2 linked regions of the Caenorhabditis elegans genome follow. The protein of the gene in region 1 interacts with the protein of each later gene in a pairwise test. Each region holds a gene or a part of one and is shown on either strand. Other genes may lie near its edges.

Region 1 (4,999 bases):
TTAACACAAAATAATTGTTCGGCTTACAAAATTCTCGGAAACTTCTTGGAATCATAGTGTAAATCCACCATCTCTCTTCCGATTCCATTGCAGATGACTGCGAACTTTCTTTTATGTCCGTCGATAAGTATAGAGACATCGCTAGTCTGAAAAACTCAAATAAAAAAAACATATTTACGCGAAAATTACCTCTGCTTCATTTTTTTCCGCTAATTTGTAGTACATCTCAACTTTCAGGCCACGTGCACTCATTTTTTTTCTGTAAAAATTGAGATATTTATTGAAATAAACTGATCAAAAATGAATTTTTTTTAAACGAATTCCGGAGCAAATAAATTTAAACAACTACGGTAACAGCCATTTTATATGTGTGCGCGTTGCGAGACCCAGCATAAAACATCGCGCAGGTCCCTTCAATTAACTACTGTACTACACAAAATGTTTCTGTGTTTCTCGAAAATATTTTAATTTAAATAATAGTTCCTGTTTTTCTCCGAAAAATTGTTTCCCCTCAATTTCAATAATTCATTTTAAGCTACAAGTACTATTTCCGTCCTTCTGCTGAAAAAGAAGCCGATTTCGTGTCAGATTTCGAGTTGGCCGAGTTGGTCACAGTCTTTTTCTCGTCGCCCTTCTTCATTTTCACCCATTCACACTTTTTGAACGTTCGCTCCGGTTTCAAGTTTTTGGGGTGGCACTTTTTGCAGCTGTGGCTTTTGTCGTCCTCTCTCACCGGTGGTCTTGGTCGATTTTTTCTGCAAAAAATCATAAGGCTTCGGCTTAGTCTCAAGCTTACCTGGAGTAAATAAACAAGATTGGTTTCGGAGGGAAACTAAAGTTCACTTTCACACTCTCTTCTCCGAGAGACTTCAACTTTGGTTCCTCTTTCTGAAAACTTTTAAAATTCGCAAAAAATATATTGCTAGTCAATAAAGTCTACCTTCTTTTTCACCTCTTCAGACGCACTCTTGTCTTTTTCAAACATTAGGGTTCCATAAAAAGTGTTTGTACACAATCTTTTCGATGCCTGTTCAGGTACATCGGTTCCCATCTGTTTATCAACTTGCTTAAACTTTTCCAGTGTGTCAGAGTCCGGTTCACAAAACGGCAGTGTTCTTGGGCATTTCGGAAGGAGCAATGACGGATTTCCTTCAAATGCTTGCTTCAGCGGCCGATGAGCCTGAATTTGAGCCTTCGGAATGTCATCGTCACTCGGCAGTCGTGCCAACCAAAATGGGAGCTTTTCAACAAAAACCTCTCCTTTGCTACACTTGTTTTTATCACGAACAGTAATGTCGTTTTTGCTAAAATAACATTCAAGGTCCGGCATGAAATCGACAGGGTTCACTCCATAATCCGGTGGCACGTACTTTTTCGACAGCATTGCTTTAGTTCTGAAAATGTTTCACGGTAGGGATGCAGTCTGGTTTGAATAACTCACGGATTGGCGATGCCATCCGACTTTCGGCCCCATAGTTTAGCCACATTTCTCAAGAGCCCTTTTCGGTTTCGTTTTGAGCTATGCTTCCGTTGGCTCGACAAATTTTTCTGTGCTGGACCAACGCATGGCTTTGGGCCTACATTCTTCTTCCGCTCACTCAAAGGAGGTGGGGGTGGAGGACAAGGTAAAGAAGCTGCTACCTGGAAATTTAAATTTTTATAAAAGCCCAGTGTTTTTTCGTCAATTTTCTATGGAGCCTCTTGAATACGCAAGCTCTCTCACTCTCTGTCATTCTTTTCATATACTCTCGCTCGCTGCACGTTACTCACCGCACGGATGGTTTACTGGGTCTTCTGGTACTCGTATGGGTGCGTGGGTTCGAATCCCACTTCGTGCAGAAATTTTTGGCCTTTTCTAGATAGCTCACCGGTGGAATAGTGACTCCTTTCAGCGCGGATCGTCTTGCTGTGCCGTTTTTCCCCTTCTTACTGTTCTTCTTTGCTTCTTCTGAATTCTTGGGGTCTTTGCCTTCTTTCTTCTTCCTATTTGCTTCTTCTACCGGAGCGCTATTATCATCTTTTGCAACTGGTTTTTGCAATCGGTCAGCAACATTTGGAGTTGAAGCTGGCTCATGTGCTTTTTCAGCGACGTCTTCCTGAAATTTTAGTTTACCCGGTTATTTCATATTCGATTCATGTTCTCCAATTACTAAAAAAAAACTTGAATGCAATAAAGACTCTTGTGCTCCTTAAAAGCGCTCACTGTTTTTCATTTAAAACAATGTCTCTCTGCTCCTCAAAAACTCACGACAAGAGTTACATCGACCGTTGCTCCGATTCCTTCTTGTACAGTATCCACCGTTGTAGCCTCATCCTGTCGGTCATCATCGTCAGGATTATCATCAACGATATCGATGACGATCTGTCCTACAAGATCAAACATGTCACCGGATTTTTTCTTCTTCAGGACCTTGTCCGACGGGAACTTCGGCTTGAGAATTGACGGCAACTCAGTAGCCTTACTGTTAAACGGCTCAGTTGGCGCAGTTGCTGTTTTGCTTTTTGAAACTTGTTTCTGATCACTGAAAATAGAAGTTGTTTCTTCGTTCCAAGACCGCTCCGGCTTACCTATTCTTTTGAACTTTTTTCAGATCGGAATCCATTTTGTAACGAAGTGATATAAAAATTGAAATGACCAGAAGTTTCAATCTTCAAAAGATTTCATCCAACTTTATACGAATGGTCCGAAAATATATATAAATAAACTTTTGAACAAGATCACACGTCAGATTGATAGGCGGGGGGGGGGGGGGGGGAGGACAGGGAATAAAAAATTTAAGTTCAAACTTTTTTATTAATTTTTTTTGTTTTAATATAATTTTAAGACACAAAATTATCCGATTTTTCCACCAAACATACAGTACCCGGTCTCGACACGAATTACTTTTGTTAAGTACGAACGGGTGTGCGCCTTGAGAGAGTACTGTAGTTAAAACATTTAGTTTTCTGATAAACTTAATCGATTTTCTATAGTTTTTCTCACGATTTGGTAAAAATTATGCATTTTATTGTTAGATTTGAGTTTTTATTGAAAAACTAAGCTAAAATCGGGGAAATTTAGCAGCAATTAATGTTTCAGAGTACAGTACTCTTTAAAGGTGTGCACCTTATCGCATTAAAAAATGTAGTTTCGTGACCAATTTTTGAAACCAAAGTGCAATCGCGCTCCAATTCCAACGGAAACCAAGGCGGCAAAACTGCAAATTCAAACGCTTTCAATACATTTTTCGTCGATTTTGCCGCTTTTTGTTCTTTCCTAAAAATTATAAAAAATTATGCAAAATTATGCGATTTTTGCACCAAAAATACGGCACCCGGTCTCGACACAATTTTTTTTTTGTTAAATAAACGGGTGTGCGCCTTTAAAGAGTGTTGTAATTAAAAATTATAGTTTGAGTCAAAAATTGCTCCATTCGATTATTTGTCATGAATTTTCACATAAAGCGGAACGTTTTTATTTAGCCGTGAACCTGTGCTTTAAACATTTTTCATTGAAAATCGAAAAGAAATTTTATTCTTACAAAACATTGTCAACGTAACAAGTGAAAAGTCACTGTGTGACTACGAAAAACATAAAAAAACAAGAGGAAAAATCTCAAAAATCATAAAGTCTCATAAGATTCGCATCCAGTGGCAACAGCTGATCCGAATCGATATCCAACGAGTCGACAGTTCGCTGGCTTTCCGACTGGACACGCTTTCTGATAGAACTCATCGGGTCCTGTTGTTGAGCAGTAGCTAGAAGAAGCATCTGTTGACGGGCGGTCATTTGCTCGCGAACGTCTATCAACTTTTTGTCGAACACTTCCTGCATCGTTTCGGCGCACTTGAATACAGCATTGCCCTTGGGATTGTAGGTTTTTGCATTTTCGAACATTTGATTCACGTCGTTCACAAATTGCGATAGATACAGGTATTCGGTGCGCTCAACCTTTTTTGTTATTGTTGAGAGATCTGAAAAATTTCAAATGCAAAGTTTGACGACGTTTCGGAAATACTAACCCATAGGCTTCTTGATGAATTTCTCATAATCTGGGAACTCATTCAAATCTACTGGGTTCCTGAATGGTGTGCTCATACGGTGTTCGAGGAGAAGCTCGAGGAGCTCAAAGACATGAGTATAGTCGGCGCGTCTGAAATTTTTCCGAAAAACTGAAAATTCTAACAATGTGTGAACTCACGTTAATTGCACACTAACACGACTCGAACCCGACACATCTGACGCTTCCGACTCGTAGCCTTCAGCCTCTCGAGTGCATGCCGGGCAGTTGTAATCGGCGGCCTGCTCGGCTTCGGCACGTGTTGTCCCAACGCATTCCGGGTGAAACCACCCTTGACAGCTGTCACACCCAACGTAGAATCTGCAAATTTACCTGAATTATTCTCTTATTTCTATGCCAACAAAACTCACTTTGTATCATCATATGGCTTCTGACAGACACAGTACAACGCCGGCTGATCCTTGACTCTCTCCTGCTCCTCAATACATTCCTCACAGCTCCAGTGCTCCAAACCCAAAATAGTTTGCTCGGCGACTCCAACACAGTCGCCATGGTACCAACGAGCGCACAGCTCGCACTGAATATACAGCTTCGACGCGTCGAAAATCTTCTGACAGGTGCAATGCTCAATGGATAGGTTTATGTCGTGTGGTGTCGCGGATCCTGGAGTGTGGAACGCCACGTGGGACGCTGGCGGCTCCGAAGTACGACGCTCTTTTGACTTTGGAGCCGTGGATTGGCTTTCCGGCTTGTCCCGATCATCTTCAGATTTTGAGAGATTCGCAGAAGTTCGGCGACGACGAGAAACGTTGGTGGCGATTGATTCCGTTGGCTGGAAAAATTTCAGGTCTCACTGGGAAAATCACTTTTTTCGAAATCTTACCTTCTGTTCCTTGACATAATCATAAGTATCTCCGCCCAGAGTGATATCAGCCGGATTTATGACTTCCTTTTTCACCTCAGCTTTTGGTTTGGCCGCTGAAAATTAAAAAGTTAAA
Region 2 (3,702 bases), about 11 Mb from region 1:
CTCCATTCGCGCTTGCCGTCACGTGTCAGTTGGAAGAGGATTTTCGCGTCGTTCGTCGGCAAATTTTCATGTACAGCAGCCTCTGGTTTTCGAGAAATTTCGTTCTTAATGGATGCTCTCCTTCATTTCATCACGATGTTTTTGAAAAGCCTCCATCATTGCTTTATTGAATTTTTCTTGATTTGCCTGATGTTCCTTTCGCTCGACTTCCAGTTTTCGAACGGCTTCCATGATTTCCTTGTTGAGTTTTGTCTGCTCTTCAATGACTTTCTCAAGCTGCGAATCGGATACAATGCCCGAGTTTTCTGGCTTCTGGAAAAGTAGAATTTATTAGGTGCTAACAAAATAAGTGTTACCTTTCCAAGAGCCAAACCAATATCTGCAGTCTCCATGCGAAGTTTTTGGAATTCAGACATCAAATTGTCCGAGCGGAAATTCGACATGGTCGCCGAGATTTGGAGAAATGAATTTAATTGGTAGCAGAAAAATTAATTGATTCACGTTTTTTTGAATAAAACATTTATCTTTCTTTTAATCAAATAATAATAATATCCACATTCAACAATAAAGTTCAATAAATTAACAACAACATTCACAATCTTCATCACACTTTTCATCAGTATGTTGCTTGATGACAGAACCGTCCTTAATTCCAGCTTCCTCAAGAGTTTGATTATACTGAAGCTCCTTGTCATTGAGCATGAGACGTTGGCGATGCAGTGCGAGGCCACCGTGCTTCAGGAGGGCCATTCCGACCGTGTAGATTGTGTCAAGGGAGTCCAGTTCCATCGGGATTCGGCTTCCGTGAAGGATAACATTGAACTTTATGTTTTTCGAGCCAATCTGAATAATTTTTTTGCTAAATTTACGGGCCAGGGGTGGGCGGCAATTGACAAATTTTTTTGTCGGCAAATTCGGCGAATCGGTTAATTGCCGGTTGGCCGATTTGCCGTTTCTGGCAAGTTTCCGATTTGCCGTTTGCCGAACATGAGATTAAGCCTATGCCTAAGATTAAGCCTAAGCCTCAAGTAAGGAACACAATCATCTCATAAAATTACCTTTCTCCGGATGGCTTGAGTATCCTCAGTCACTTTCTTGAAAAATTCCCTCTGTGCCTCTTTCATAGCATCGAGTCCAGTTTGGAGCAACTTGATCGCATCCAAAACATCATTCTCCTCCTCCTCATCTTCGTCTTCAGAGGTCTCATTATCCTCATCAAGCTTCTCAAACAGCTCCTCCTTGAAAATCTCCAAATCATCGCTGAACTCCTCCTTCTCCCGAGCAAACGCCTTCTTCATAGATCTGATTGCGTCGAGCATTTCTTTGTTGAAAGCGTCTTGGATCTTCTGACGCTTCGAACGTTCGATGGACATTTTCTGAATCGCTAGCATCAGTTTCTGGTTGACTTTATCCTGATTTTCACAAAACTTGTCAAATTTGGAAATGCTCAAGGACGTGATCGAACCGATGGTGGGACCCTGGAATTTGGAATAAATATTAATAAGGCCGATACAATTCAAATTCAAACTTTCTCAAGGAAATTATTGATTCCAGCAGTTTCAGATCGCAAATTTTCAAACGCCGACATCAAATCCGACGGTCCATCTTTATTGGTAGATTTTCCAACAGTTGGGGGCATTGCAGAGGTTATTTTCTGGAATTTAATTAAATTTTAAAATAACAAGAAAAACGGGAAAAGGACACACAAAAAAACAAATCAATGAGAGAATGAGCCTCTCCCCTGCATACCGATTGTAAAAGGGGATCGGAAATCGCCTCGTGGCAAGTGACCCACTTTATTGGTGCGCGGCGGGGAGATCAATTTTTTTTTGGCATTTTTGAAGATTATTAAAACAAAGAACCACAAAAAATGTAGTTGTCCTGCGCCTTACAGATGAAAAATGCAGAAACTCAATATATGAGCGGAGCAACTTGTCATCTAATATGTACGTGATCTTTCAACGATCAGTTACTAAATAAAAATTTCGAGTTTTCATTTCCTTTCCGGCCCAGACCATTTTGCAAAGTCCCGGTCATACTCTAAAGATGGCAAACTCAGATAGCATTTCTTTCTTTGCCGTCTACCGTCTCTGCCAGGGGTGTGCGGCAAATCTCAAAATTTGCCGAGCTCGGCAAATTCGGCAAATCTATTTTTCCAATATTTGCCGAGCACGGCAAATTCGGCAAATTCGGCAAATTTGCCGTGCTTAACAAACTCGGAAAAATTATATATTTTTTGATATTTTTTGGAGCACCAAAACTACTGAATTCTTAACACACCTCTGGTTTCTGAACAAGTTAGGTGTAGTGTGTCTGCTTAAACATCAAAATAACTCAATTTGTTGTCATTTTACTAAATTTTTGGCGAAAAAATCAACAGTTTTAGTCAACATTGTACTGTCAAATTTTTGACGTATGCGGCAAATTTCGAAATTTGCCGAGCTCGGCAAATTCGGCAAATCTACTTTTTTGAAATTTGCCGTGCTCGGCAAATTCGGCAAATTCGGCAAATTTGCCGCACACCCCAAAATCATCATTATTGGCAGCAGAGACTCTCTGCTGCCAATAATGATGATTTTAATTTGTTTTAAAATTGATTTTTTTTGTGCATCTTCAAACTGACGTATCTCGAAAAATACACATCTGGAAAACAAATGTTTAACTAACAAAATGATCAGAAATATTTTTTCTTTTTAATTCATTAATTTTTATCTCAATACACCAACTTTTTGTAGAGTTAAGTAGAGACATCAAAGCCATTTTACCAAAAATCACAAAAAATTTTGAGAACTCCTTTGCTGTACCCGTCATAACCCTACGCCCATCAAATTTGAAAAGATAAATTTTGTTGGATAAAAAGTAAAAAATATTTCTCCACGTTTTATTAGTTTTAAGATTTTTGATATTTTCATGTTCCGCCAAGTTACAGACCGTTTTTCGAAAAAATCCAATTTCGCTCATAAAACTCTTCATATCCAACGTAAAAACTTGAAATTTTGAAAAATGATCACTTTTTTGAGGTCTCTACAATGTCCTAAAAAATCTTTCAAAAAATCCTGCCCATCTCCAAAATCGTCCTTCGCTCCGAAAAATGAAATCGGACTTTTGCTTCTCGAGAAATGGGCGAAAAAATCAAATTGCGATTTTTGGGTCGAAAAAAATATTTTTAGAAAGCTGAGAACACGCTATTTACGAATTTCGTGTTCATTTTAATTGATTCCTTCTCTGAAATGACCTAAAAATTAAACAAAAAGAACATAATTTTAATTCTCACGTAAAATTTTTTGGCATGTTGCTCAGTGCTTCAATTGTTTTCTTGCGAATAAAAAATTGACGTGAGAATTAAAATTATGTTCTTTTTGTTAAATTTTTAGGTCATTTCAGAAAAGGAACCACCTAAAATGAACATGAAATTCGTAAATAGCGTGTTCTCAGCTTTCTAAAAATATTTTTTTCGACCCAAAAATCGCAATTTAATTTTTTCGCCTATTTTTCGAAAAGCAAAAGTCCCATTTCTTATTTTGGAGCGGAGGACGATTTTGGAGATGGACAGGCTTTTTTGAAAGATTTTTTAGGACATTGTAGAGACCTCAAAAAAGTGAGCATTTTTTAAAATTTCAAGTCGATACGTTGGATATGAAGAGTTTTATGAGCAAAACTTGATTTTTTTCAGAAAACGGTCTATAACTTGACGGAACATGA

The links.
Region 2: the proteins of F26H11.4 (region 1) and F54D10.7 interact in a two-hybrid assay, tested with the Caenorhabditis elegans proteins (2 studies listed by BioGRID).

Annotation. Positions count from the first base shown.
Region 1 is NC_003280.10:14,406,355-14,411,353, reverse strand, and holds F26H11.4 (ULP_PROTEASE domain-containing protein), read right to left. Parts: upstream 2,743-4,999; 5' UTR 2,604-2,742; coding exon 2,569-2,603; intron 2,523-2,568; coding exon 2,249-2,522; intron 2,097-2,248; coding exon 1,869-2,096; intron 1,850-1,868; exon of another isoform or gene 1,786-1,849; intron 1,642-1,785; coding exon 1,442-1,641; intron 1,395-1,441; coding exon 941-1,394; intron 889-940; coding exon 797-888; intron 756-796; coding exon 545-755; 3' UTR 512-544; downstream 1-511. Other genes in the region: dsb-2 (Double-Strand Break factor), read right to left, coding at 28-146, 190-252; nurf-1 (DDT domain-containing protein), read right to left, coding at 3,596-3,954, 4,003-4,133, 4,182-4,361, 4,412-4,833, 4,885-4,979.
Region 2 is NC_003280.10:3,819,643-3,823,344, forward strand, and holds F54D10.7 (Ubiquitin-like domain-containing protein), read right to left. Parts: upstream 1,655-3,702; 5' UTR 1,640-1,654; coding exon 1,529-1,639; intron 1,479-1,528; coding exon 1,059-1,478; intron 844-1,058; coding exon 580-843; 3' UTR 507-579; downstream 1-506.